Linked DNA regions of Mus musculus: all the other regions are reported to be linked to region 3. Evidence: microRNA targets listed by miRTarBase, many of them from high-throughput screens and not tested one by one. Region 3 holds a microRNA gene; each other region holds the end of a gene's coding sequence.

What was found. Region 3 holds the annotated microRNA mmu-let-7b-5p (UGAGGUAGUAGGUUGUGUGGUU, at 2,348-2,369, shown strand). A microRNA usually pairs through its seed, bases 2 to 8, with sites in the 3' UTR of a target mRNA and lowers its output. Matches are read on the target gene's strand: a 7mer-m8 pairs with bases 2 to 8, a 7mer-A1 pairs with bases 2 to 7 and ends in A, and an 8mer does both.
Region 1: the mRNA of Sh2b3 is a reported target of mmu-let-7b-5p. Seed matches in the 3' UTR shown: 7mer-A1 at 1,641-1,647.
Region 2: the mRNA of Flywch1 is a reported target of mmu-let-7b-5p. Seed matches in the 3' UTR shown: 7mer-m8 at 1,883-1,889.
Region 4: miRTarBase lists Nol8 as a target of mmu-let-7b-5p. The part of its 3' UTR that is shown has no 7-base or 8-base seed match.
Region 5: miRTarBase lists Snx30 as a target of mmu-let-7b-5p. Seed matches in the 3' UTR shown: 7mer-A1 at 2,394-2,400 and 7mer-m8 at 1,595-1,601.
Region 6: miRTarBase lists Wnk1 as a target of mmu-let-7b-5p. The part of its 3' UTR that is shown has no 7-base or 8-base seed match.
Region 7: miRTarBase lists Cadm2 as a target of mmu-let-7b-5p. The part of its 3' UTR that is shown has no 7-base or 8-base seed match.

Annotation. Positions count from the first base shown.
Region 1 is chr5:121,814,538-121,818,929 of GRCm38, reverse strand. Sh2b3 (SH2B adaptor protein 3) reads left to right here. Exons shown (of 8, transcript NM_008507.4): 5 at 76-170; 6 at 251-465; 7 at 543-714; 8 at 837-3,449. The coding sequence ends at 1,159. It overlaps Atxn2 (ataxin 2), which reads right to left. Exons shown (of 25, transcript NM_009125.2): 25 at 3,980-4,392. Among named protein-coding and RNA genes, the nearest start is that of Mir7031, 2.5 kb to the left of the region's middle.
Region 2 is chr17:23,750,734-23,755,125 of GRCm38, reverse strand. It overlaps Flywch1 (FLYWCH-type zinc finger 1), which reads left to right. Exons shown (of 8, transcript NM_001357994.1): 8 at 1,263-2,331. The coding sequence ends at 1,285. It overlaps 9530082P21Rik (RIKEN cDNA 9530082P21 gene), which reads right to left. Exons shown (of 3, transcript NR_015472.2): 3 at 1,061-3,448. Among named protein-coding and RNA genes, the nearest start is that of 9530082P21Rik, 3.7 kb to the right of the region's middle.
Region 3 is chr15:85,704,978-85,709,369 of GRCm38, forward strand. Mirlet7b (microRNA let7b) reads left to right here and starts at 2,342; the gene lies at 2,342-2,426. It overlaps Lncppara (long noncoding RNA near Ppara), which reads left to right. Exons shown (of 2, transcript NR_110483.1): 2 at 1,577-2,547. Mirlet7c-2 (microRNA let7c-2) reads left to right here and starts at 1,626; the gene lies at 1,626-1,720. It overlaps Gm34622 (a long non-coding RNA gene), which reads right to left. Exons shown (of 3, transcript XR_384306.3): 3 at 3,894-4,392.
Region 4 is chr13:49,677,350-49,681,741 of GRCm38, reverse strand. It overlaps Nol8 (nucleolar protein 8), which reads right to left. Exons shown (of 17, transcript NM_001271397.1): 17 at 2,726-3,356. The coding sequence ends at 3,306. Among named protein-coding and RNA genes, the nearest start is that of Iars, 2.6 kb to the left of the region's middle.
Region 5 is chr4:59,897,849-59,902,240 of GRCm38, reverse strand. It overlaps Snx30 (sorting nexin family member 30), which reads right to left. Exons shown (of 9, transcript NM_172468.2): 9 at 1-3,333. The coding sequence ends at 3,274. Among named protein-coding and RNA genes, the nearest start is that of Slc46a2, 15 kb to the left of the region's middle.
Region 6 is chr6:119,922,990-119,927,381 of GRCm38, reverse strand. It overlaps Wnk1 (WNK lysine deficient protein kinase 1), which reads left to right. Exons shown (of 28, transcript NM_001199084.1): 27 at 148-335; 28 at 695-3,413. The coding sequence ends at 1,012. Among named protein-coding and RNA genes, the nearest start is that of Rad52, 22 kb to the right of the region's middle.
Region 7 is chr16:66,660,503-66,663,502 of GRCm38, reverse strand. Cadm2 (cell adhesion molecule 2) reads left to right here. Exons shown (of 10, transcript NM_178721.4): 10 at 292-3,000. The coding sequence ends at 410. All of the region lies in intron 2 of 1700010K23Rik (RIKEN cDNA 1700010K23 gene), which reads right to left. Among named protein-coding and RNA genes, the nearest start is that of 1700010K23Rik, 4.9 kb to the right of the region's middle.

The DNA of each region.
Region 1 (4,392 bases), not on the chromosome of region 3:
GTCCCTGCCCACTCATCCTTGGTTCCCTTTGATAATCCCTGCTGGTTCCCTTCTTACCCAGCTCTTCCCCTACAGGCTGGAGCACCCGGACACCGAGTTACCTCTTTCCTTAGCGGCAGAGCCTGGCCCAGCTAGATCCCCAAGGGGAAGCACTGACTCCCTGGACCAAGGTATGTGCCAGGTCCTTGGTCTCTGGGTGTCCTTGGACATGTGGCCCCCCTGCGGGTCACCACCACCATCTTTCCGCCAGGTGCTTCACCTGGGGTGTTGCTGGACCCAGCCTGCCAGAAAACAGATCACTTCCTATCCTGCTACCCCTGGTTCCACGGCCCCATCTCCAGGGTGAGGGCTGCACAGCTGGTCCAGCTCCAGGGCCCTGATGCCCACGGCGTGTTCCTGGTGCGGCAGAGTGAGTCCCGGAGAGGAGAGTATGTACTCACATTCAACTTACAGGGCAGAGCCAAGGTAGGGGCAGGAACTGGTGGACCAGGGTGGGGCAAATGCAGCCTGGGCAGCAGGCTGATCTTTACCCCTTTCCATAGCACTTACGCCTGGTGCTCACAGAGCGTGGACAGTGCCGGGTGCAACACCTGCACTTCCCCTCGGTGGTAGATATGCTCCGCCACTTCCAGCGTTCTCCTATCCCACTGGAATGTGGAGCAGCTTGTGACGTCCGACTCTCTGGCTATGTGGTAGTCCTCTCTCAGGCACCAGGTAGGAACCACAAAGTTGTTGTCAAGGGTGGTGTCACCGCAAGTACACACATGCCCAAAGCTGCTTTTCTGGTGCGCTTTTTTCGGTTTTAAGACTCATCCACATCCATGCCATCTCTCCAGGTTCCTCCAACACCGTCCTCTTCCCTTTTTCCCTTCCTCACTGGGATTCGGAGCTGGGTCATCCCCACCTCAGCTCTGTTGGCTGTCCCCCCAGCCATGGTGCAGAGGCTCTCCCTGGCCAAGTGACACCACCTGAGCAGATCTTCCACCTGGTGCCTTCTCCTGAGGAACTGGCCAACAGTCTGCGGCAGCTGGAGCTCGAGTCTGTGAGCAGTGCCCGGGACTCGGACTATGACATGGACTCCTCTTCACGGGGCCACCTTCGGGCCATTGACAACCAGTACACCCCTCTCTCACAGCTGTGCAGAGAGGCAGACGTGTGAATGGAACCATTTTCCTCCCCTCCAGAGAACTATAGGCTGCTGTCAGCCTTCCCCAGCTCAGATGTGCCCCGCTTCCAACACACACAAGGCTGTCACAGGCTTCCTGTCAGCCAGAGCTAGCCCCCGGCTTTCTCCCACTGTTTACAGATGTAGTTCTTGTGCACAGGTGCCACTAGCTGGTACCCTAGGCCTAGTCCCCAACCCAAAAGGAGGTGGGGCTACAGGCCCAGAGCTGGCAGTGGAAACTGACAGAGCTGATGACAGACTTCTTACCAGGCAGGGTCATCGGGAAGCACAAAACACTAACAGTCCCTGGATTCTCACATGGTGTCCTTCCCTGTAGCTTCAGATCTGTGGCAAGTCCTCATGGGTTCCATGCCACAGGCGATGGATGCTTCATGATCCTGCTCCTACTCTTAGCTTTACGACAGAAGCTCTGCCAGAGGGACAAGCTTAAAGATCAAAATTGATTTAAACATTTTACCTCAGAGTACTTTTTTTTGTTTTGTTTTAAAGGATTCAGGTTTCCATTTAATATTAAAGCTTATTCACTGCACTGCCCTACTAGGACCCCCCTGTCACTCTGAAGTCGGGGGCAGCGAAGCACCCCTGGTTCGCTTACCCTGAGCCAAGCTAGCATGCTAGTGTCCTTGTCTGCTCCCTCAGGACAGTTGCCTGCTGTGGGGTAGCCACTGTCCTCCCTAATGTAGAGAATGAAGTGTGTCACCCTTTCAGGGAAAACCAGGCAGCTTGCAGAGAGGAGGGTGGCAAGGGACATTCCACTCCAGTGCCTTATGCATTAACAAAAAGGACTCTGGGTTACAGCAGCTTTACAGAGGCTGGGAGGTACAGGTGGGCGAAGGGCTTGAGGTCATCTTTATACCCTCTACCCCTGAGGTTGGCTCCTCTGTGAGCCAAAAAAGGAGCTGGCACTGTGTTGTGTAGAAGCTCTGTCCCAGGTGGCAGCAGGGTCCCCATCCATACAATCTCTCCATCCAGACAGTGCCAATACTGTGATTGTTCCTAAGGGACAGGATCACAGGGAGTGGGTAGTGCTTGCAGCAGCAGTGGCTTTAGAGAACCACAACTTAACTCCTAGACATGTTCCAGGGCAAACATTCCGCTGCCCTGCTGAAGCCAGCAGTACTGACCTCCTCCTCTGGTTACTCTGTACTCTGCAGGGGTGTGGGCTTTGGGGAGGGAAGCAGCTGCACCTCCTCTTGAACACTCCCCATTGTGTTCACGGACCGAGGTGGGTCCAACACAGGTGCAGATTCGTGTTCCATCTTTAAGGTAACTTGCTTTCCTTCACTGCATAGAAGGTATGAACCAAAGATATAAGCAATATCCAACCAGTGGTCCAGATTCGCCTCTAATCTACATAGGATGGGTGCACAGCTGTATCCCTTCACCTGGCAGAAGCTAAACTAACTTCAAACTTGGGGCACTTGTTTCCCCTGGGCCTTCAGAAGAGAGACTTGCCCGACGCTGTAAACCAGCACCTCCACCCCCACTGTGGACAGCTTCCTTTCAAGAAGTGTCTAAGATAACAGAAAACATAAGGCAAAAAGGTATTCTCGTGACTGTGGGACAGAGTGACAACACTAAGCCAACACCTTTCCTTTCTGCTAGAGTAGGTCCAGTTGGCTGAAGGGGACGGGCAGGTTTGCGAAGCTCCAGGCCAGATGCCCTCCCAGTGTGTTGGCACCAGGCACCGTTCCCACCCCAGCAGTCTTTACTGGCCACCACTGGCTCGACAGTCCCCGTACCCTTGCTTCCTTCTCCTGAGTACTCAACTACAAACTAAAAGTCACCAGCACCAAAGAGTTGGGTCAACTAACCTGCCTTGACTTTACCAGCAATCCATATGGCTTTATCTGTATAAATCTTCTGCCTCTGATCATTTCTGGATGGTGTAGGAGAAAGGAATAGGGATCATTACAATCTCGGGCCACACAACACTATCTTTACCTAAGTTTCTTAAAGTAAGGCTTCACCCCTTCCCTGAGGGCTCAGTCTCTTGTTTAATATTACCTTGGTGCAAACACCAAGTGATAAACTGTCACCCACTGCCTCCTAGTGAAGACACATCTAATGGCCAGTGTGTGGCCGGAATAAGCAGCATTGTCACCACAGAAACAGGGAATCTCATCTTCTATCATTACAGCAGAAGGTATTTGGCAAATCTTCGTTTTATGTACTGTATGAGTAACTTATTCTTGAATAATGCAAATTTTGCTACAATGTACAAATTGCTGTATGTCAATTAAAAAGGTTTCCAGTATTACAACCATGATCTCTGCATCCACACACCCATCCCACTTGCCTGCCTCCCTTTCGGGCAGCCTGGCCTCATTCTGTGCTGCCCCCCCCTCCCCAATCCCTGGCTACACTGAGGAGGGACAAGGCTCTGTGCTACTAGACAAGTGCTTAGCCACTGTGGCCACACCTTGAGCCTGGTCAGATTCCTCTGTAAAGAAGGAGCTTCTGCCCCCTACTGGTAACACAGAACTGAACTGGGATAACTCAGATCAACAAGGAAAAGTGAGCTTACAGTCTGCACCTGCTTGCAGATGTGGACTTTTGAACGCTGCCCACCTCTGGCCAGCCTGCCTTCTGCTGAAGCCAACTGCTAATCCACCCGAGAGGGAATCACAGTCTTGACTTTTTCTAGATACCTTGAGCCAGAACTAAAGGTGAAGAAGAAAAGTCATTTGGTCAGCACCTCCTCAGAGATTGGAGCAGCACAACCAGCCTGTCTTCCCTGGGGTCTACCTCCCACAGCAGCAGGAGTCAACATAAACACACACTAACTGGGTATCAGTTTTTAAAACTTTTTTTATTTTTTAATTTTTTTTTTTAGTTTTTATTTTATATTATCTACAAAGTAAAAGTTTTCCCTTAACTTAAAAGTTGAACCACTGTAGACAGTGATCGCCTCATCAAACTTGATTTATAAATAATAATCCGTCAGTTTGGCGGTAAGAATTTACTGAACTTCTGTCAAGTTTAGTAAAAGGGCGTTCCAAGTCTTGATTTTTTTTTTTTAAAGCGGTAATAGCAGCAAGAATCACTCTTGTTACTTCTGTTGCTAGCTGATGTGTTCATGACTCTCAAGGGCCATTAAAAAATAAATAACTTCCAGTTTCAGCAAGCAGAGCTGGGTACTTGCAGGACCCTGCAACAGCACATGGAATTATGGAACAGCCACAAGTCCCTACATGCCTCTACTC
Region 2 (4,392 bases), not on the chromosome of region 3:
TTCAATTCCCAGCAACCACATGGTGGCTCACAGCCATCTGTACTGGGATCTGTTGCCCTCTTCTGGTATGTTTGAAGAGAGCAATGGTGTACTCGTATACATAAAATAAATAAATAAATCTTTAAAAAAATTAAAATAATACACTAGGTTTAGTGGCATATGCTTTTAATCCCATCGCCACAGAGAGAGAGGCAGGCAGATTTCTATGAGTTCAAGGCCAGCCTGGTCTACATAGAAAGACCTTGTCTCAATAAATTAATAAAATGATGAATAAAACAGCCATAGGCTATTACAGATAACATTTATTGGTATGAAAACAACTTCAGTGATTTATTTAATGAATTACTAGAGGGAGGAACTGGAAATACAGCTCAGTGGTAGAACACCTGCCTAGGATGTGTGAGACCCTGCATTTAATACCCAGAACCACAAAACTACCCCAAGAGTGACACAGGTTACAAAAACTGATTGAAGAAGAGATTAGAGCAGGAACTGTCGTGGGAGTGGTTCCTCCCTTAAATGACTGTGGTCCTTGTGATGTTGTTCCTCAGCATCACAGTGAGTCAGAAGTACCCAGCCCAGCCACTCTTAACATTTTTGATCCCAAAAGCTGTTTAGGGGTGATTTGTGACCATATATTAGATAACAAAGACCCCCACCTACAGGTCTGCTGGATCTCAGGACAGCCTCCAGGCAATGAACAGGCTTTGTCTTTGCTGAGGAAAAGGACTAGCCGTGCCAGCCAGGCCTGGTGGCGCACTCCTTTAATCCCAGCACTCGGAAGGCAGAGGCAGGAGGATTTCTGAGTTCGAGGCCAGCCTGGTCTACAAAGTGAGTTCCAGGACAGCCAGCTACACAGAGAAACCCTGTCTTGAAAAAACCAAAAAAAAAAAAGAACTAGCCGTGCCTGCAGACCTAGCACCACAGAGGCCAAGACCAACTCCCTGGGCCAGTTGTATGGTCAGTTCCAAGCCTGCCTCAGCTGTATAGTGAGATACAGTCAGCAAACAAATACAAACGAAAAAAACCCAAAATAACTCACACAGAGACCGTAAATATACCTTTAGCGTTTTGTTTGTTTATTTTTTGAGACAGGGTTTCTCTGTATAGCCCTGGCTGTCCTAGAACTCACTCTGTAGACCAGGCTAACCATAAACAAAGATCCACCAGCCTCTGCCTCCCAAGTGCTGGGATTAAAGGTGTGCACCACCATGCCTGGCTTAAATAAACCTTTGTAATGATGCACATTTCTCTGTCATCAGGAAAATCAAAGAGCAAAAACTGAGCAGCCAGTCCTGCTGAAGTGAGTCTTCTCTGGAGCAACAGAGGAGCAGCTGGCACCCCAAATGCTTCCCATCCTTGCAGGCGTTTCCCATCCTTCAGATGCACTTGATGACAACTCTTCCAAAGCACCCAGGACTGTCACATTTCCTCAGAGGTCTCCCAGGAGGAGTGCTTGGACTTTGGGTGGTAACCAAGCTGGATGGGTGGCCTGCAGGCCTGTCCCATGCTGCTCTTACCATCCTGACCTTAGACAGCTGTGGAGAACTGTGTCTGGATGATATACCTCTGCCCTGCTCTGCTCTCCAGGCCTCAGCACCATCTGCTTTCAGAGCACACTGCCTTGCTCAGAGCTTTCCAGTGGGCGTGATCCCGTGTGCGCTCCATGAAGTTCAGCAAAATGCAGTCACCCCAAGCCAGGATATGTGCAGGAACTTCTTGCCACCCTCTGAAGACAGTGCAAGTCACAGCAGGGTTTGTTTTGCTTTGTGGCATCTTTTAGGGGCAGGTGTGAGGCCTGCCTGCTCTTTAGTCTCTTGCTGCTTGCTAAGGCTCACCCAGCTCTGACTGTGGCAGAGCGGAACAGGCTAAAGGCTTCGCTCTACCTCCCTGGCAGACTTGGCACCCTGCGTTCTTTCCCAACTTAAACCTGTGTCCACAGTTCTTGGGAGCCAGCCCAGATGTCAGGAGGAGGTGACACCATGTAGGCATGCTCTAGTGGCAGCGGCACCACTGAGGGTTGCTCACCTGGTGTCGCATGATGCACCAGGTCAGTTAGATGGCATCAAAGCCACCTCCTGTAGAAGAGTTTAGCAGGACTCAGGAGCCATGCCAGCAGTGGCACTCTAATGTCCCCAGGAACGGCAGAATTTCCTGCGTGCTGCACCCTGGCCAGAGCTGTCCTCATCATGTCATAGAGCTGCATGCTCCTCTCCCTTAGCAAACAAGCCGTGGAACAGCCACCCCTGTGGGATAGTAATGGCCTGGTGCCTGCCGCTGTCTTCTGCTCATCTGATTCCCTCAATAAACCCTGTGTAGTCTCATGGTACAGAGCTGCTGTGTGTCAGTAATAGTCTGCGCTGCCACAAACCACATACCGCCTGCCAAGTGCTGGGGACATTGTGGATTTGGTTGGTAACTCATGGGCAATGGTGTTTGCTTGGCCTAGATCAAGACTTGGAGGGGACCTGCTGAGGAGCTATCCCCAGCCCTGGGGAAGGCTTGAAGAGTGGGCCATGTACTACCTCTCAGCTTGAGTTCTTCTGAGCTCATGAGAATGAGTTATAGTGAGCCACAAATGGAAGCAGTGCCCCAAGTGAGCCACAAATGGAAGCGGTACCCCAAGTGAGAGCCACAGATGAAAGTGGTATCCCAAGCAAAGGCCAGGTTTGCCTCTTGAGACGCTGGGCACCTCCTGGGCAGGCAACTCCCCACTTTTCATCTTCGTCATTAACTGGCTCTGATTACCAGCCATCCTGGGCCTCCACCTGAGATTTGTCTCCAGTCAAAAAAAGACAGTCTGAAGGCTGGGGAAACGGCCCACTTAGTAAAGTGCTTACTACATAGCTATAAGGACCTGAGTCAGATTCCCAGCACCTCTGGGGCACATGTCTGTAATCTCAGCACCAGGTAGAGAGAAAGGATTTCAAGTAAAAACTCGATGGTGGGGTTTGATTTGGGTTTATGAAACATGGTTTCTCTGTGTAGTCCTCCTTCTAGGTAGCTGTCCTGAAACTTACTCTGTAGACCAACCTGGCCTAAAACTGAAATCCACCTACCTCTGCCTCCTGAGAGCTGGCGTTAAGGATGTGCCACCACTGCCCAGCAACTGTGGGATTTAATATACATTTCCATCCCTCTACTTCCATCTCACCTGGAGACCAACTACTCACCTTGCAACGGGAGGCTTCCACACCCACTTCTCCTCAGGCCCCTCCTCAGCCCGCCAGTGCAGACTCCACAGTTCCTGCCATGGGGTCCTCTCCCTGGCTGTGTGTGTCAGGTGTGATTACCTCACTTAAGGACCAGACACCAGAGATGTACTTAAGGATGTCTCCAGGGCCCACTTGGTCTTTAGGCCTTCCTCCACTTGCCTCAGCCTACAGCCTCTTGCTCGGGAAGATATCCAGTACTCCAGGGAGACCAATCTTGTTCTTATTCTGCAGGACTGTAATAGACTCAGTGTGACCTTCCTGACCATGGCAGAGGCCCCTGCCAAACAGGAGGGTATTAGAGGCTTGGCACGCTTTCCTGCAGCCCTAGACACTTGTGCCCTGTCCACGCTGGTCTCACTCCACACTGCCCCCAAGCCCACCAGCCTGTCCTGTCCAACACACACTACTGCTTTGAACAATTTACCAAGATCAGCTGCCAAACACTCCCTGTTATTAGCTCATGCCTTTGGTGAACCAGGTCTCTGGGAGGTCTGAACAGTGTCCTTTGCCTGGAGGCACACACAGCTTCAATCAAAGTGGCAGCCCCTAACTAAGGCTGGTAGCTCATCCTCTCCTGTGCAGCTATGGGCAGAAATCTAGACTCCAGACAGTTCACTGGCCAAATCAGGCCCTCTAGGTTCATCACCAGCATCTTTTTTGTTTGTTTTTTGTTTTTGTTTTTGTTTTTGTTTTTTTTGTTTTTGAGAATCAAGGTCTCAAATTCTATGTGCCTATAGTCCCAGTACTCAGGGAATCAAGGTATGAGGATCTCAGATGAGGCCCGATGGGGCTACCTAACAATTTGCACGCCTGCCTGAGCTACATAGCAGACCCCACTGAGAGTTAAGGCCAGGCAGTGCTTTGTTATCCAGGCTGACCTTGAGTCCTAGACCCAAGTCATTCTGCTGCCTCAACCTGCCACATTTAGCTTAGACCACAGGCATGCACCAGTGTTCCTGTCCCCATCTCTTACTTAACTCAGAGACAGTTTAATTAATTAGAGACTATAATTAATCTGCATCAATCCCTCCACCATCTCCACACAGTGTGACATAGTCAGAGAAGAGTGTTGGTGCATGCAGGGTTACGTCTACACTCCAGAGAACTGGCTGGTGAGCCTGTGCATCAGCAGGGGCAGGAATCACTTTCAGATTCGACTTGCCATGGCCTAACTAAC
Region 3 (4,392 bases):
AAAGGCGCTTTGGGGCTGACACAGTGGCATACACCGGCCTCCTGCTGCTAAGTAGAGTGGCTGAGAATCCCCAGGGGCCAGCCAAAAGGACCCCACGGAAATGCATGATGGTGCCCAGAGTCAGAGGGGCCAGTCTCGACCTTCCAGCCAGACCTGCCCACGTACTTGTATCCTGACAGCCAAGGGCAGAACCCGAAGTGTTGAGAGACCTGGGGTTGATGTCTGACCTCTTTCCTCCTTCAAAGTGCTTCTGGGGGCGGAGAGGGGGAGGGAGGTGCTGGGCTCAGATGGAGATGACCAATGTGGTCTCTAGCTATTCCACCACATCCGGGCACAGCCTAAGAACCGACGAGATTAACCATGGCCAGTCAAGCCTACAGAGAGGCTAAGCAGTGTGGGACACCCCTCAGCCTTCTCACCTGGGCCACCCATCATAGATAGGATCACCAAAGGGGCCCTTCACCACTCTCTTCCCACGCCTCTTCTGCCTTGCTGCCTCTGCAGGGACCATCCTTGAGGGTATTTGACCTGCCTGTTAGTGAAAGGGTCCAGGCTTGAGGCAGGGGATGGCACCCCAGTGGCTCAGATTTCCTTCTGGGGCTTGGAAGATTAGTGTTTCCTATCATCACAGGCCTGCCCACCACGGGCCAGGCCACACCAGCGCTCTGGGAACCTTGTTCCTAAGCTCCTCTGCCCCATAGACTCCGGATCTGGGGCCACAATGTGGACTTAGACCTAACGGCTTCATTTTGACCCAGGAGTTTTGGACTTGTCCCTTGACCCTTGGCAGAGAGGAAAGGAGGCGTGACAGTAGACGCTAGGGCTCATGCAGAGAGCAAAAGCTGCCTGGCTTCCTAGGTCTGGGCACAGGGCTTCCCTCCACATGCTGGGCAAACCGGTCTGAGGCCTGAAAGAAGCAGGTCTTTTTCCCTTCTGAGAGCAGAGCTACCTGAGACCAGAGACTGAGCCTCAGTTTCTTCAGCGATCTCTGCTGGCCTCTGGAAGTGCTAGTCGTTAGGGACAGACTGGCCATGAGTGTCCAGCCAGGGTCTGCACTTGCGCCCGGCTGGCCACCATGGGGAGTTAGGCTGCCTCCCACAAGGAAAGACTGTTTTGAGCCTCCCCCAGCAAGGTCAGCTCAGGCCACCCTGAGAAGAGGGAGGGACAGAACCAGAGCCCACGAGGGGGGGGCTCTTCCTGCCTAAGGGGAAGAGGGTACATGCCCAAGGCTACTACTTAGCAGGAGTCCTGGTGATTCTACTACGCTAGAGTTGAGTGGACAGAGGCTGGGTCTCAGCCAGGTGGACACTGGAAGCACCCTGGACCTTGGTGGCCTTTAACAAATGACACCCTTCCCCCATTGTGGCCATTCCTGTGCTCAGTGCCCCGTGCTTTCTCTCTCTTCTCCCCGTTTCCCCGTCTCCCCGTCTCCCCTTACTCTCTCTGTGATTTTGTTTAAATGTCCCTGGCCCATTTTGAGAAAATCCCAGTCTATTAATACCCTCAGCACTGAGCGGCCTGTGTCGGGGGTGGGGGGTGGGGCTCACCATGTCCCCAGCTCTCCTTCTTCCTCTAGGAGGGACCTCAAGAAGCCACAACATCCAGCTCTACGCCAAGACTGACTGACGGCCTTTGGGGTGAGGTAGTAGGTTGTATGGTTTTGGGCTCTGCCCCGCTCTGCGGTAACTATACAATCTACTGTCTTTCCTGAAGTGGCCGCAATATCTGCAGTGGATACAACGGCGGCCCTGGCTGGGGAGACTGAGGGAGGGACAGGGGGGTGATAACTACCATGCAAAAAGAGCCTGACAGAGACCTTGGATAGTCCCTTGACCTCTCTGGGCTGTTACTCATCTGTATAAGGGTTGGGGCATAGCGATGAAAACAGACAGCATTTTCAGGGCACCTTCTCTCCCTGGCCCACACTGAAGGGGCCTTCCTGCCCCTGGCCCCATATCAGACCTGTGCTCACAGGTCTCCATGAAAAGAGGGTCTGGACTAGACCTTCAACTATGTTCCAGAGTTGCCCAGGCTTTCCAGCGCAGGGTCAGGCCTCTGACGAGCAAGCGTCTCTTCCGAGAAGAAATTGAAAAGGAGCCATTCTTAGCACACCCATGAGTACAGCCTGCAGATGGACCGTGTAGGCCACTGTCCCCTGTCCCTGGGGCAATGGGTTCAGACACCAGAGGCTTCCTCAATCTGTTTGGTAGGCACAGGCCTTTCTCACTGAACCTCTGTCTCCACTTCCCCCTCCCCCACCCCGCCCTGTGCCCTATGGCTCTAGTGGCCTGTGGCCAGGGTGGGTGGGGAGCGGCTGGGCCTCCTCCAGAACACGGACACCGCAGGGTGAGGTAGTAGGTTGTGTGGTTTCAGGGCAGTGATGTTGCCCCTCCGAAGATAACTATACAACCTACTGCCTTCCCTGAGGCGCCCAGGGACACAGCTACATGGAGGCCCCCGCTCAGCAAGCTAAATGGAGCCACAGATTGGGTGGGGGCTATGACGTGGGACCTGGGTATAAATAAAGGATGTTCTGTCATGAACTTACAACTGGTCTTTGGTCATTTTGGAAATACGGAGACTGGCCGTAGAGGACATGAGATCGCCAACCACACATTGACACGTTTGCATGCATGAAACATTGCCAGCAAGAGCTGCTCTGGGTAGTGAACAGTACCCTCCCCTCATCTTCCATGTGCCCCTTAGTGGCCCAAGCCCTGGACACCCAAGCCCCTCCACATGAGTGGAACAACAGACCCTATGACTCCAAGTCTCAGAGCACAGTACTGGCTTCCAGTGTCCCTCAGCCTGTGGTCCTAACCAGATCTGAGAAATTCCTGGCCTATTGTCCCTTCGTGCCTGCCTCCCTTGGGACAGTATTGGGACGGCTGTGGATGTAGCTTTCTAATCTTGGGCCAAATGGTCATATACCCTTCTTCCAGGGACCCCAAGCCTTCATTCAGGTGGTGGTAGTGGGGTGAGGGTCAGCCCTCAGCTAGTGTTAGCTTAGGAAGGTAAAGTCCTAGTCTTACCTGACCAGACACCAAAGGCCTCCCTCGTGGGTGGATACCTTGACCCTGATGTCCTGGCCTTCTCCCCATAATGAATCCCCCGAGTCCCAGCTCCCGTCCTGAACCCAATCTGCCTCAACTCTGCATATCCACACACCTCCATTGACGCACCTAGGCAGACCAAACACCCCTAGAGCCCCTCTATATCCACCCTCAGCTACCAGACCTCTCAAACTTAGCCAGCCATTTCCAAAGATCTGATACTGTGCTAGCCCCAGGGTTGAGAGTACCCAGAGGGACTCTCTGAGTACTCTCTGAGAGCAACAGGGATGGCTTCCCAAAGTAGGGGCTATCTGAGCTGGGTCTTGATGGCTGTATAGGAGTTGGCAGCTAGAGACACAGGAGTGGACACTCAGACACTCCGTGGCATGCCCCATTGTCTCCTCCCTGCTGTCCTTTGGAACATCGATGGTGGATGATAAATTGTCACCTTTTTACCTCTCTTTATCCTGTAGTCAGTGGTGAAGTCTGTTGACTCTTGCTATGCCTCCAGCCCTAGAGGAGTAGTCCTTCCTCCCCTCCCTTGTGCAGAGCTTTGCCCACTCTTCATCCCTTGCTGAATTAGTTAAGGTTTTACTGCTGTGAGCAGATGCCATGACCAAGGCAACTCCTATAAGGACAACATTTAATTGGGGCTGGCTTACAGGTTCAGAGGCTCAGTCCATTATCATCATGGCAGAAGAATACCATGACATAGGAAGAGCTGAGAGTTCTACATCTTGTTCCGAAGGCAAACAGGAGAAGACTGGCTTCCAGGGAGCTAGAGTGAGGGTCTTAAAACCCATATCCACAATGACATACTTCCCCTAACAAGGCCACACCTCCTAATAGTGCCACTCCCTGGACCAAGCATATACAAACCATCACACAGCCTACCTTCCATACTCTTCTGCACAGCCCAGCCCCCAACCCTTCACCCTCACACAGGCCCACCCTCTGGCTACCACAGCCAGCTGTGTCTGTGCAAGCAGAATGACATGCTGGCCAGTCACACCCACCTCCTGGCTCCTATGCTGCAGTGGGAGATGGCCTCTGCTCTGCAGAGTTCAAGTACTAGGGACACAGGACAGGACACACGGCGACCACCCAGTGGGGTAGCGTGGGAGCATCCGAGAGCTCTGAGGTGCTCTGCAGTCAGGGTAGCTTCCTGGAAGATGACCTCTGACATGTCCTGTGCCCCTCTCTACATTCTGTTGGCTCTTCTCTGACAACTGACTGTCACTAGAGATAGGGGTGCATGTGGGGATCAGGGTGGGTACGACACAGCATTCAGCAGAGTGGAAGTTCTGGGGTGCAGGGGAGTGGTTCAGCCCAGGGAGAC
Region 4 (4,392 bases), not on the chromosome of region 3:
CTCCGAGCCATCTCTCCAACCCCAGTATTCTTAAATATATGTCAATATATGTGAATATTATTAAATATATGTGAGTATATTTGAGATCTGGACATTTGACGCCATATAAAATTAGTTTAGACTCAGGGTCTCTTGTATCTCCTGCTGGCTCCGGAACTCCTAAGCAGCTAAGGAATGACCTTGAACTGCAGAACTTTCTGCCTCCACAATGGGAGTTACAGAAATGTTCCATCACGCCTGTTTTTATATGGTGCGGTGGATAAGCCGGCCATTTGTGCACCATAGCCACACACTGCCAACTGAGTTAGATTCCCAGCTGTGATGGCATCTAAAATTTATGCTACATATGAAACTTCTGACAAGTGACTCCCACAATTATTTTGGGAACAGTACATATTAACCTGGAGACTACTAACCATGTGGTAAATGGCAAGAGAAGGGAAGAGGGTCTGACAATAATCTGAACCCTTTATTGAATGTCATTGCAATGGTTCTTTTCATTTCAAAATTTTGCTTATGTATCATTACATATCTACTTAGTACCCTTCGGATCCGGCCTAGAACAAATGAGAACGTTGACACCAGTCTGTGAAAGTAAGTTTTGGCCTTGATAAATTGACAGCGTTAATTAGGTAAATAAGTGCCTATTTTATTAATGACAGAAAAACAAAAACAAAAAAACGGATTTGGCCTAAATGAAGTAGAAATCTCGGCGAGTTTTAGAACATTTTGATAACTGTTGAGTGTTTTATTCAACAGTTCTAGGCCCTATGGTGTCGAAAATTAGATGCAGTGTTTGCCTGTGCTTCTTGCTTTCTTAATTATGAGTATCCTTATTAACCAGAAATATTTGGAGTTTTTAAGCTTTGCATTCTTTAAATTGCCAATTGGTTCACCTCATGTTTATCCTCTGATCAGCGTGCAGAAATAGAACAAAGGTCCCTGCACAAAGTGAAAGAAACTTATGTACCCATAGGTAGTGTAGACTGGACCAGGCTGTTTAAAAATTGGATTGAGAAACACTATAAACTACTGTTGGGAAGTAAAGGAACAGTTCGTCTAGAAAATAGGTAATTAAAAAACTTTCGCTGGTCGTGGTAGTGCACGCCTTTAATCCCAGCACCCGGGAGGCAGAGGTAGGTGGATTTCTGAGTTCGAGGCCAGCCTGGTCTACAAATTGAGTTCCAGGACAGCCAGGGCTACACAGAGAAATCTGTCTCAAAAACAAACAAACAAACAAAAAAAAAAAAAACCAAAAAACAACAAAAACAAAACCAACCAACCAACCAACTCAAATCTAAAAACCTGTCAAGGTTGGGTGGTGCACACCTTTAATTTCCAATACTCAGGAGGCAGAGGCAGGCAGACTTCCGAGTTTGAGGCCAGCCTGGTCTACAGAGCCAGTTCCAGGAATCCTGGAAGATGTTGGCTGTGGCCAAAATACTACTTGGATTCAAGAGTAATTTTTTTTTTTTTTTTTTTTTTTAGGAGCAAGTCAGGTAAAATTGGCTGAGAATATAGTTCAGTGATAGAGTGCTTGCCAAGTCTGCAGAAAGCCCCAAACAAGACAGCAAATGCAAGTAGTCAGAGTTAAGATAGGCAAACTGTAGAGATGACGATTGGAAGCAGCAGCTCACGTTACATCTCATGACAGAGACCTGGGAATGGGGAAGGCCAGTTGTCAATGCTTTGAAATGGAGTCCTTGGCTCATTTAAGTATGGACGCAAGCTCTTTGGTTCTTCCCACTGTTTTAACCTATAGAAAATGGAACCAGTGGCTGAGTTTATTTTTGGCCAAGACTTCCAGAGACTGGAAGCATGTTTCCTGCTTCTGGGAACACTTGCCCTTGGCTTCTAATTGCCACACTTTAAAGAAGCCCTTGGATAGACAGTGAGTGGGCCAGGCATCCAAGCAGAACCTCTATCTCCAGCTAATGCACGCCAATGACTATAGAATAGGAAATCCTAACCAAATGAAGTGTACGTGAGCAAAGTTGTGGCTTTTACTAGGATCATTTGCTAAGAAATGATGACATATGGTTTAAGTATCTTTCCACATAGCTTTTAATCTCTAAGTCTGAAATCCATGAAACAGAAATCTACAACAGGTCTTCCAACTGCTTAGTTCTTTGTAGTCTATTTTAACTTGTCCAAATGATTTCATCTCTCCAGTTCCTGTATATTATTTTACTAAAAGCAACAACCCCCCATAGGAGTCAAGCATCTGTGTGACATAGGAAGTAAGAAATAATGGCTAACAACACAAGAACAGATCATAATAGATTTCTGTACTCAAGGAATAAATACAACACTGACTAAGATGCACATCATAGCTCAGTAAGACTCTTAGGACTAACACCCTTTTATACTGTCCATTTTAATAGGAGGCCTGTCTGTGTTAAATCTTGGCTAGATTTAGTGAAATATCAAACCTGCACTCTTATCTTAGGCTTAGGATCTGACTCCTGACTCTAAGTGGTCTTTTAGATAATTAGTATTTTTCATACCCGCATGTCTAATTGGACTTTTGGGACAGGCCCAACTCCATAATAGATGAGGCTAAGGTCAAGAACACACTGGACTGTCTTTCTTCCCAGGTCCTCACAGAAATCTTAGGTGTTGGTCTGAATATCCCACATTTCGGGCAATTTGTCTTCAAAATATAAGTATATAGCTCAAAATTAAGTTGTAACTTATCTTTTTCTTTTTTAAATAAAAGACAAAATGAAGGTAAAGAGTATTTAATTAGGAATAAACACAAATATTATGAACCATTTATTAGAAAGTTCTATTTTGTCTTCAGAAATTACATCAGAAACTTACATCTGTATATACAGAACTCAAAGTTAATTTGTACTTGAGTTTAAAAAGATAAATTAGAGGTATAGAATATTTAGCATAGTCAGAAATACTTAAACAAATACATCAAACCATTTATTAAACAAGGTTTCATGTAAGCCTCCTGTCAGGAGTGAAGAACAAGAATGGATGCTGTTCTGAGGTGGGGTGTTGCTCAGTGTGATCTCAAATTCTGGGCTCAAATGATCCTCCCACTTCCCCTTCTAAAGTGCTGAGGCTATACTGTGTGTCACAACTGACTCAGTTAATTTTAACACAGTCATCAAGGAGGGAATGTATACGAATTCCACAGAAATAGTCATCAGAATGATACATTATCATCCAGGTTTGAATATTTTTCTACTATGAAATATCTTCTTTGTCAGTGAATGCTTTTCTGGGTTAATTTCTTTCAAGGGCTGGTGAGCAGTCTGCACATTCAATTCCAAAACCAAAGCTGACAATGGTTAATTTGCTTTCACCTTCCTTTTGGCTTCTTTATGTTTCTTCCGACATTCCTAAAAAACCATAAAATAAGAAGCTTTTATCAACAATAAACACAAATTTCGCACAGTCAACAAAGTATACTTAAAGTCGTAGAAACCCATTCTACAAACACTTCTGGGATGCACCGACTATAGTCAGACCTTGGCTACCTTGTGGGTTCTTTTCCTCTTCCACCCTTCTCCCTTTCACCCAGCCTCCTCTTCCACCCTTTCGACCCCCTAACACTACATAGGAGAGAAAAAAGGATAGAAGGGGAGATGGTTGATGTTACGGTTAGACTACTTCCTGCTGATTGGGGAGTCAAGTTCCTTGAGGCAACTTTGAACTTTGCTATCAGGATATCTAATTTTTTCTGGTTTCTTCACTGTGCACTGAATACTTAACCACAGCTATCAGCAACCAATAGCCACAAACCACTAACCTACCCTCTCTCTTGGGGCCCTAGCATATATACTCTCTGAAGAGTCCCCAGAATTCCAATTGTCACACAATCACAGAAACCACACTTGCTCCCTGCTTGAGCACTAGGTAAATCATAGCTGCTCTGGAAAGCCTGAAGTAGCACTTTATTCCCATACTTGAGATTAAAATTAAAAGATTCCCATAATATTTCTGTGTTTTTCAAAGAGACCAAAATTCTCACTACAGAGTCTATTCAGTTTTTGGTTTTATATGGTTAGGGAACTGTAACTTAGGCTTTGAAAAACCTCATTACCTGTTTCTTAGTAGACTGGCTAGACACAGACCAGTCACTCAAATGAGCCAGTCTTTAGTGCCTTGACATATACTTGTGTAACGTACCCCATATCGGTATACTGTCATGTCCTGTTGGGAGTTCACTGAAAAACTGGCCCTGGAAGCAGAGACTCTCCTACTACTCTCACTGTGCACCTAAATATGTTTTTATTAAGTATCCTCTAAGAACCCTTGTCTGGGGCTGGACTGACTCACGGACTGTGTGGCAGGGAGGAAGGAATATCAAGACAGCTCAAGAGTAAAACTGTGCCCTTGAGAACAGCGAGAAAGTGAGCCATTTCCAGCAGATGT
Region 5 (4,392 bases), not on the chromosome of region 3:
TAAAATCTCCACAGAGCCCTCGCCAGAGGCTGTAGTGTTCACATATGGTTTCCTCCTGTTTATGGGCTGAGAGGGTACATTCTACAACTCCATTTGGCATAGAGACGTATCTTACATTCCGCTTCTAGCCCCAGGCATGCTGACTTTTCTTGTTTCGGCTTTGGGAAAATATCTGGTGAGGTGAGGAACAGCTGGGAGAAGCTACTTCCCACTCGGCAGCAATCACTGCTGAGCCTTCCGAGAGCATAAAACTGGACCCTACACAGGCTGAGGGGTCACTCCCTCCTCACTCCAGAGCAAAGCCTCCTTGTTTGAAGCAGCTCAGCCCAGATTCTTCTTGCAAATTCCCAACATCAGGAGTGTCCTTTCCTGCTACAAACCACAACTGTCCTAAACAACCACGGCTCTCAAACCTCTTTTGCCTTTGTAGGTTTTTTGGTTTTTTGGACTTTTGTTTTTTGTTGTTGGTGGTGGTTTTGGTTTTGGTTTTGCGAGACGAAGTTTCTCTGTGTAGCCCTGGCTGTCCTGGAACTCACTTTGTAGACCAGGTTGGCCTCAAACTCAGAAATCCGCTTGCCTCTGCCTCCCGAGTGCTGGGATTAAAGGCATGCGCCACCACGCCCGGCTGCCTTTGCAGGTTTCTAACCCCATGAACAAGCCCTCCATTTCTCAGGACCTGGGCAGTTGCTAAGGCCAACTTTCATCTCACTGGCATGTGTTCAAGCTTCAAAAGCTATCTTTATCTCTCCACCTGTGGCACCCTCAAGGCAAAGTCTCCTGGAAAATGAGTCGGAGGGACCTGTGACATCAGGGAACAGCTTTGTAGGCTCCAGAAGTAATGGAGCCTCTCTGGGGCATTTTGGCACTGTAGTCTCTGAGCTATGTAGGGAGTCTCTTTTGTGCATACTTTCCCAGGGACTGAGGGGGCCTGTGGAGCAGGGAGGGAGGAAGGCCTCTTCACTGTCTGCTGCCTTTTTTCCTCTAGGCCAGCCTCCTCAGCTCACCAGCTGCCATCCCAAGGAGAAGGGCAAGCATGCCTCCTTGTGCATGGGTGTCCCTGGCTCTGCCACTGACACTGGTCCCCAGGGAAAGAAAGTCTCCATTATTCCATCTCTTTCTGGAAACTCAAAGCCCAGGGACATTCCTTACTGGCCAAATGAACAAAACAAGACAAACATTGCAAGATGCCATGAGAGCCACCTCTCATGAGGGAATGGCTGTGGACCCTGCTTCCCTCCCTACGTCTCCCAGTGCAGCTGGAGGCTGTTTCTACGGGGCTTTCTTCTTGCATAACTAACCAGCACACAGGATTGACTTGAGGTTTTGGCAACCAGCTGGCCATCAAATCTTAGCTTCTGGATAATTCTTTCTATAGTTCTTCCCATGTATCATCACATGACTATTCATCATATCAGGCATACAATCCACAAAGCAAAGCTTCATGTTTCTCAAAGATGGACATCACCTCTGAGCGAGTCTGGTGTTTGCTGATACACACAATGGAGGCCGGTTGGTGACTAAATACACACCCTGACTCTACCAGCATGCTCGGGTGAGCTCTGAGCATTCATACCCATACCAACCCAGTGGTTTAGAGGTAGAATGAGATGCCAATTTGCTGGCATTTGGGTGTATGGACCACTCTTACTCCTCTGCCTCAGTGGGCCATTCCTATTTGTACCAAAGAAAATTCACATCAAGGCCTTTGGGATGGCACAGTCAGGGTTTAGGCAAGTACCGGTAGATGTGGGAATTATTATTTCTATCACAAATTTGTCAAATATGAGAAGATAAATTGTTTCATGCTATCTAGCTGCCATCCCATGATGTCCCATGATGTATCTGACTCAATGTTAGAGGGAATTACAGGACTTAGCATGCCGTCTGCTCCGGATTTACAAATTAACTTATATACGGAGCAGTGCTTGGCCGCCTCACCTTAAAGACAACGACGCCCCTTCCGTTTACCTGCAGCTCAGATCTACGGATTTTTAGCAAAGAGCCACAGATGAAAGAACACAAATATGCAGCTTCCTTTTAGCAAGAACAGTGGTATGGAAGAGAGATCCTTTCTGATTGCTGGCTTTATGGAAATCTGAAAGGCTTCAAATGAAGATGTTAAGTACAGTGGCAGCCCCCAGATTTTGGCTGCAAACGGAGATTTCCACATAGACAGAAGCAAAGAGCATGATGTTGCTCTTCTCGTCTTGGAGGGACCTGCAGATGCTTTTATCTTCCTGACCACAGAATGCTGAGGGTTAAAACACTCATATAGAAGTCACACTGAGTTTACAAATTGTGACAGCAAAAATAAGACAGCACATCAGCCCCCACTGCAAGGCTGCCCAGACAGTCAGCGGGCACGGCAGGAAGATTAAACTAGACATTTTTGGTGAGGTAAAGGCAAATTGCACAAAGCAGACATCGGAGCTGGGGCTTGGCACACCGGAGCATCACTGACAGCAGCTGTTTCCAAACAGGTCTAATCCCAACCACGATGACAGTTAACAAGCAAAACACATACACTAAGACCTTCACGGAGAAAAATGCACCTTTTTTTTTTTTCCAGTTCACACCAAAAAGCTTCTCATCTGTTGCATTCTGGTGTCAGAAACAAGATCCTGAGGCATCCCATAAGGACAAGGACGCTGGCGTGCTCACTCAAGCGTCAATGCTCACAGACACGGATTCAGGTGGCCCCACGTGAACCAGAAACAAGTCAACAGAGGCCACTCATCATGAGCAGGCAGCAGGCCACAGCCACGGCCACGGCCACAGGCTACAGGCCACTGTAAATTAAGGACTTTCTGAGAAGGTACCCACACCTCCTTCCATGCTGGGTCAGGTTAATGCCCTCACGGGTAAAGTGCAGAGCCACGGGGTCTCCACAGCAAGCTGCAGCTGCCTTCTTCATGTCTCCCCATGTCCCTGAAACGCAGGACTGGGGTTCTGTCCCACAATGGCAACTGGGCTGTCCCCAAAGTGATGTCACGTGTCATGTGGGGGTTATCTTGCCCCTCAGTTTCAAGTCTTTTAGTGTTCCATTTAAGAGGTTCCTTCACAATACGGAGGTATGCTGCTGAGAGATGATTACAGTCTCATAGACTCCAAGGAATAAATACTAACTGAAAACAACTGGGGGCGGGGGTAGAAAGTACACACACAAGAGGTGCTGTTGTGCTGTTTTCCCACGGCGACCTCTCCGGCACTGCAGGGACATTCTGGTTCAGGGTTCCATGCCCTGTGGAGGCAGAAGAGTCTCTGTTCCAAAACCTACTTAGTCTCTTGCTTCTCTTGCAGTAGTGGAATAATGGACTCCCACGCCATGAGGCACTGGAACGAGAACACGCATACAAGGTCAGCTACTGAGTCCTACTCTGCTAATCCTCATCCTGCCAGGTCACCTCTATCTAGTGGCGCCTACGTCTGTTATCAATAGGGGAGGTGACAAGTGTTTGTCTGGAATCTGTCACCCCTACCTTTATTAAAGAGGCATGTCCTTATAAGGCTTGCATGCCTTCACTCTAGTGTGAAGCCTACACCCAATGTGTGGAAAGATCCACTCTCACTAAGCAAAAACCAGGCCAGGCAGGAAACGCTTGATGAGGACGGCAGCTCTGAGAACCGATAGAGGCATTGTTAGAGGTGTGGGCAGGGCTTGTCTAAGGATGGAGCCACGAGAGGCCAGCCACCTGGGTCAGGGTGGGTGGAAAGCACACTCTTGCTCACCTGAAGTCTGGTTTGCTTGTTTGGACAATTTTATATATCCCCAAAGACTGCAATGTTTACATTTATTTCTGCGTATGTAAAGGGTGAGGGCACATGTACCATGACATGCGTGTGGAGGTCAGAGGACAACCTTAAGGAGTTAGCTCTCTCTTCCCACCATGTGGGTTCAAGGGATCAAGCACAGGCTGTCAGGCTTGGCAACAAGCACCTTTACCCGCCCCACTGAGCCAACAATCAGGTTTTACTAGGCCTACATCCTGTTGTGTATTTTCTACTCATTATCCCACGGTCCACAGTTAGAGCAAGAACATGAATGCACACTGACACTCTTCTCGTTCCAGATCCTTCTGACAGGACAAGAACTTAGAAGACTTGGGCACTGCCTGAGAGTGGCTGACCCAGGACACACTGTCCTCCCTCTGAAAAACCTTTTGCAAAAGGGAAGGGCAAGCCCGCTGTACACACAGGCTCAGGGTGAAGAACTCTACCCTGAGTCACCTGGGCGGAGGTCTGCAGGGTGGGTGGAGAAAGGCAGCATGGGGCCAAGCAGAAAGAGGAGTGAGTGCTGAAACCTCTCCCTCACACCTTCCTTGTCCACTCTGAGGCTGGCGAGGAAGCCAGACTCGGACGCCTGTCCTAAACAAGGAAAGCCTAGTCAGCCTC
Region 6 (4,392 bases), not on the chromosome of region 3:
CAAAATCTTCCTCTCCTGCATGGCTTCCCAAATATTCTCCCCATTCCGTGGCTTGCCAATCATTACCCTATGACATTTTCCCCTTTCCCCAAAGTTATATCCCAGAACCCTACTTTAATGCTAATATTGTGTTACTTATAATTCTAGGGACCAGCAGCACAAATACCGTTGGAGGAACAGTGAGTAGCCAGGCTGCCCAGGCTCAGCCTCCTGCTATGACTTCCAGTAGGAAGGGCACATTCACAGATGACCTGCACAAGTTAGTAGACAACTGGGCCCGAGATGCCATGAATCTTTCAGGCAGGAGAGGCAGCAAAGGACACATGAATTATGAGGTGAGTCTTCCCTTTTCCTAACCTGCCAGACTATACACAGACATGTCATGGACAGCCAAGGCTGGTATGCCATCCTTACCACTACCATCTTCAGTAGCCTGTGGATTCTATTATTGAGAAAACAAGGCAGCAATCATTTTGGTACCCTTTTTCTTCAACATCCTGCACTACCTGCATGTGCACATAAAACACATCTCAGATCCTACTTTTCACTCCTCCTTGTTAAGGGTAAAGCCAATAAATATGGGCGGCTTCGTTATATTTTGATAATGCTAAGATTAGAACATCTCAGCTCTACAACAGCATTATAGTATCACCCATTTTTCATCAAATTCTCATTGCTACTTTCTTGTTTTTAGGGCCCTGGAATGGCAAGGAAGTTCTCTGCTCCTGGGCAGCTGTGTGTTCCCATGACCTCAAACCTGGGTGGCTCTACCCCCATCTCTGCAGCATCTGCTACCTCTCTAGGTCACTTCACCAAATCCATGTGTCCCCCACAGCAGTATGGTTTTCCACCTGCCCCATTTGGCACTCAGTGGAGTGGAACAGGTGGTCCAGCACCGCAGCCACTTGGCCAGTTCCAACCTGTAGGAACAGCATCCTTGCAAAATTTCAACATCAGCAATTTGCAGAAGTCCATCAGCAACCCCCCAGGTTCCAATCTACGGACCACCTAGTCAGCAGCAAGGATGTTAACTGAGTAGATTTGGGGGCAGGAAATGGAATGCTGGGGGGGTGGGGGGGTGGGGAAGTAGCCTATATACTAACTACTAGTGCTGCATTTAACTGGTTATTTCTTGCCAGAAGGGAATGTTTTTAATACCATTTTGAGCCCTCAGAATGGAGAACCACCCTCCTTCTCCGTTTGTTGGAGTTAAAAAAGAAGGAATGAACAGCTTTCTGGTGGAGGGGCTGCTTGAGACTGCTTTTCTGTTTTTGTACCCCTCAGTAAGGCCTAGAACTAGAAGAGAACCTTGTTACCAGAAAGCCCCAAGAGCTCAATGTAAGCCAAACCCGATCTGTATCTGTAAGTGGGCAGAGCTCTTTAATTTTGACATGTGTCCCAAATTCCTTATTCCCTCAACAATGCACACCTTAAGACAAAGGTTCTCTCCCACTCTGATCCCTACCCCCACTTTTTCCCCCCCTTTTACAACCTAGTGAAAAATACCAGGGGACTGGGGTTGCAACCCTTTCTTACATAGGTCATTAATGCTTTAAGCAAAAGATATTAGCAGCTTTGACTGCAGCATTAGCAATTAGGGAAAACAATAACGTTCCCTGCGGACATGTAACTTTGCCATCAGTTTTGATGTGGAAACACTGTGATATATAAATGTTGTTGGACAACATTAGTTTTAAGAGAAAAATTTGAAAGGTTTAAAAGGTTCACACACACACAAAAGCTAGCTCTGTCCTTTACTTATTAAGACACTTTAACTTTTTCCTTTGTATTTCCATTGTATTAGATAAATAAATGTGAATGTAAAATTGTATAAATTACTGTACTTGAATACTTCTGTTCTCCCAGTATTGCTTGCTGGATATTTTAGTGCCTTGGACTTCTATTGCTTCTGCTGTTAGCATCAACTTACCAGACCCCAGGTCACCAAAGGGTATGTGGAAAGAAATCTTAGGTCCACATGACCCCAGCAGTGGATATGCCAAAGGGAAAATGAAAGTGTTTTTGGTTTTGGTTTGGTTTATTATTTTGTTTTGTTTTGTTTTGTTTTCTCAGTCGTTTCAATTTTGCCTAGAGCAGGTGTAAGGTGAGCACAGTGAAGTTGGCATCAGTGGTTGAAAACAAAGTTCTGTTTCAGAAAGAATGAGGAGGGTTGTGAGCTGTGTGTGAAAGATAAGGACTGAAGATGTGGGGACAAGCTTGTTTGAAGTGATGCTTGGCCAGTGAACAAACGAGATCTAGAAGAGATTAAACAAAAAGAGGGGAGTGGGCTAGATTTTAAGTTGGGAAGGATGACAGTGCCAAGTCACAGATGGAAAATGTTGCTCTAAGGAAACCTGCTCGGTTGCCCCCACCTCTTGTTGCACAAGTACCACCACACTTTCTCTGCTTTAAGTACTGTATTGTGGGAATTCAACCCACTTCTAACTTTCTAAGCATTGTAGGAAAAAGTGCTTATTTCCTTTCCTAGCTGTCCAAATGGTTGCACAGTCAGAATCTATTGTGCTGCCTGTACTTCTATATTAGAGCTAATACTCTCACATTTTCATACCCATATCCCCAAATAACAGCAACCAACCAGTATTATCTGATTTTCTGGCAATAGGGACCTAATTGGCTGTTTGGGATCTGAATATTCTGGAAAAGTGGAAAAAGTAGAACTCATTTCTTGGGTGCTTCCTCCTTCACCTTGAGTTGGGAACTGACACATTTCCAACTTTATGACACATCCCAGGAGTTGCCACACTAGCAAGGCTTCTTCCTGTAAGAGTCTTGTTCTTTTTAAGTTGGTCGAGGCCCAAAGATACAAGTGAGAGCTGAAAGTTTCAGGAGAGGGAAGTGTAATGAGCAGGGCTTTTGTTTCAGGTCGTGCTACCAAAGTGTTGACTCATTTATTCCTTTTGGGAGCGGTAAGAGGTACTGTGGGAGTGAAGCAGGTTACAGGATGACTGAGTGCTTCATACCAGCAGTAGAGGGAGCCAAATGCAGCATGTGGTGTTTGGTTTAGTCATTCTGAGTGAGGTCTGTTCCCCCTTCACAGAGGTTTACTTACTGTTGGTTTCCCCCTCCTGTGGATGAAATAACTGAAGCCTAGAGAAACGAGCTAGTGCTACTGAACTGTTTAAATTATTTTTGTGTTAATAGTACACTTTGAGTATCTTTCCACATTTAAAAAGAACTTTCCGAATTATAAATGTTTTCCTTACGTTATTTAACAATGTACACTGTTTAAAACTGAATTCAAACCTTGGGGTTTCTCAGCAGCCGTTACCTGTACATTTGCACTAACTCCGGGGGCTGCGCTTCTGTAAGATTGCGCTTTGTGCTTCAGTTTGTTACCTTTGTAGACTTATTTAATGAAACCATTCAAATAAACCAAACTTGCTTTTGTTGAACTGTGGGTTGTTCTTTCTGACAAACAAAAAACCCTTTTGTCCTCACTGGCCCTACCATTTATAACTAAAATCGTGCTGTTAAGGGTGAAAGTGGCACTTCTCCAAGGAGTCTGTTGCTAGTCCTCAGGAAAAGGCAAAGCAACAGCTGTTAGATGGCAGGGAAATTATTGCAAACTGCTGTCAGTCAACAGCGTCTGACATAGGTCTCAGTTTCTCACCAACAGATCTTGTCCCTGCTTCAAGACTAGGCACAGGGGCTAGAGGCACTTCTTTCTCACCAAGCCTGTGCCTGGTCCCAGGGACTCACCAATTCCCTCATAGCATAACCCTAAATTCAGCTTAAGTAGAATTGGAAGTTCATTGTTCCTTTGAAAAGAATCATGAAACTTTGGGTGTGGTATAGTTAAAGAACAGTTACTTCCTTAAAACACCTATTCCTAGGGAGACAGCTAAGTAGTTTCTCATCCAAATATCCTGAGTTCAATTCCCAGAAACCATATGGATCATGATTCCACCCTTCTTCTTTTGTTTTGTTTTTTCGAAACAGGGTTTCTCTGTGTAGCCAATTCCACCCTTCTTTAAGTGAGAAATTATGGCTTCCCAACAACCCATGGCTTTTCACTCAAAGGCTCTTCAGCCAGAGAAAACAATTCTTTAAAATGGTGCACTATTCATGTAGTATGATAAGAATCTTACCCTAACTATGCCTTTGCCAAGTACAGCCATGCAAGAAGCCTAAACTACCAGTAATCTCAATTGTAAGTTACACCAATTCTGCCAGTGTCAGTGTTCAAACATTACTTGATGGCTCAAAAAAACACTAACAGCAGAACTAATAGGAGCCAGGTGTGATGGTGCACACCTTTAATCCCAGCACTCAGGAGGGAGAGGACAGGTTCAAGGCAGCTTGGTCTAAAAAGCAAGTTCCAGGACTACATGAAAAAAAATCATCTCCAAAGGAAAAAACCTACTAAAAAGA
Region 7 (3,000 bases), not on the chromosome of region 3:
AGAACTAAATTTCTTCTATGGTCTCATTAATCAATCCATCATTAAAGAAGCAAACATGATGTAGTAGTCATGTCAGCATCATTCTGGCCTTTAAATAATTGTACTTCAGTCTCACATAAAATACATCTCTTAAAATTAAAGAGAAAGACAGAATTTTAAACATCCAAGTTGTATGGTGTATCACTTCTCAGAATATTGTCCAATATACCAAGATTCGGTCAAATGCTTTCTCTACTTGCTAATTATTTTGTTAGATGCCCAGAACTAACATCCTTCTTCCCACATTCACAGGAACATATCTAACAAATGAAGCTAAAGGAGCCGAAGATGCACCAGATGCCGACACAGCCATTATCAATGCTGAAGGCAGCCAAGTCAATGCCGAAGAGAAAAAAGAGTATTTCATTTAAAATTCAGGCTTCAAGTTCTGAGTTTTACCTACCAGGCTGACTGCTGGAGAAAACTGGCAATCATCTTTCAGAAATCATTCCAACCATCTTCTTCTACTACTTTTATTAACACCCATACTGTACTGCTCTCAGTAGCCAGTGTATACCAACAATCAGCAGTTGAAAGCATCATTCTTTAATTACTGTACCATCCATAATGCAGGACATTTCTTATTGCCTAAATTTTACACCATTGCTCTTTTAACATACAGTGCTTGAATATACAGCCTTAACAATGTTAATCATCTCACTGGATCATGGTATTGAGTTGTTTTTATACATTGAAGAAATGTATGCAGAGCCCCGCCCCTACATTTGTTTTTCTTGAAGTCATAGACTTTATTGGTTTGCCATTGGACAGTTATCACAAGTCACAGGATTAGGTGATGACCTAATGTGTTTAAGCTTAATCGAAGATTAGTGGTTTACAAACAATGTTTTCTACCTGTCTATCTTCAAAGATAACATGTTGTGGAAACATACGCCCTAGAAAACACAAACTGAAAAAACATTGTAGTGTAGTTTCTGGAATGTTTGAGATTATACTGGTAATACTGTATCAAGTGGCTATTTTAAAATTTAGTGTTTGATACAGGCGCCATGTGTATGGATTATACTCATGACATGACACCTTATATTATTATATAGATCCTACCATTAGGTTATTGTAGCTTCATTTACCAATAAATTATTACAAACATTTAACTGCTTTGGGAATCATAAAGATTTCATTCATTTCTCTATTTGATTCTATAATTTATTTGTTCCATAAGGATTCACCTGCCTAAACAAAACTGAAGTAGGGCACAATTTTGAGACATTTTAGTATCTGTATATAGTGCATATAATAAATCCAATTAAACATTATTTGATACATATTTAACTTTTTTGGCTGTAGGTTATTCAGTCATAAGTACGCATTTTCTAACGTCCATTATATCCCTTTAGATATTACATAAACTGATATTATAAGTAGATAACATGGATTAGTATTTTTGTCTGTATGTCCCAGCACTGTCAACAACAAAATTTTTCTAGTTCTTGTTAATTTTTATTTGTTATACAATGGAAGCACAATGTTACAAGGAAAGGTAATTTTAAGCTAACAACCAGTGCACAGCCTCAGGTTTTAAATCACAACCACAGTTGAATAATAACCTAAAAACAAACTCTTAGTTTGATTTAATTTAAAAAAACAACTTTACATAATTTAATTTGGCAGTTTCAGGGCTGCTTAACTATGTTGATTTGCCAAAAAGGGAGTGTTTATGATATTTTCTGCATAAATGAGCTAATTCTTTATATTAAACTCCTGTCTATGCATTCTGTGAGGTACAAACTTATGAAACAGAGAGTGATAGAGAACCCGTGCCGTGCTCTTAACTCCAAGGTGAAAGTCTCTTTCTCTGGATTACTTTAAATTTTGGTATATTGAAATATTATAAAATTCTGTAATCTTAAATATGTCACAAAGCCAATACAAATCTTCTATCTATGGGTGAAATAAAATATTGGTAGAATAGTTTTCATTACACTTATTGGAAGCTAAAGAATAAAGATCCAGTTAGATGAAAAAATTATTTTCCCATTTGCAAGCATTGCACCATTAAGAAGAAAACAAAAATTACAATATGGTAGCTGTACTTGTGATGACTAACAGCATGGCGGAATTTTAAAAATACCTTGGAACTTATTTGCGGGGAAGAAGGATGATTGAATACAACATCCTATGCTAATAACAACACGAGGACAAGGGTGCTGTATATTAGATTATTTATCAGAAAAGTATCAAACATTTAAGGACAATGTTAGAATTTTAATTTTTTTTTAAATTGTGTAGCATTTATCTTGTTGATTTCTTACAAAAGAAAAAGGACGATGTCAGTCAAGCAGCACTTTTTTCAAGATATACAGAACATAAATAATATGATGTGGTTGAGTGTTAACATAATAAATCATATACAGTATGACATTTTAAGGAAATAAGTCTGCATTGATGTGATTGCATGCTTGTTTTTACAGTTCACTCCATACCATCTGTGGAAAAAAATGCAATAATATGTTAATATAGTATGGTAGTTCGAGAGAATCAGGTAGGTGCCTCTAGACACATTGAAACTAGAATAGGTCTATAAACTGCTCATATCTTTCAATGCATAATCTTTAGAAAGACTCCACACAGCAAAAATTCATCCTGTTAGTACAAAACGGAAAGGTTCTTATTGCTAAGTATGTTGTATAACTGTATCATCAGTTACTATTTAAAGCCTAATTTCAGGATACATTTACAAAATTGCTACTCTTCATCGATGTTGTATTTATAACCTTCATCTATATTCTACTTGGCTCCAACTGCTAAAATTGTTGCCTAAATAACAGAAACATTATTTATAACACTATAAAATTAGAAACCCCAAATTGTTTGCATTTCAAGACTTTTGACTCTTTTGACCCTTCTGAGAAATACACCAACCCATTAGAACTTGTAAAATAAAATCACTGGCAGATAAAAAATTAGTGGGCTCTAATCAAATGATTTTCAGTCAAACGT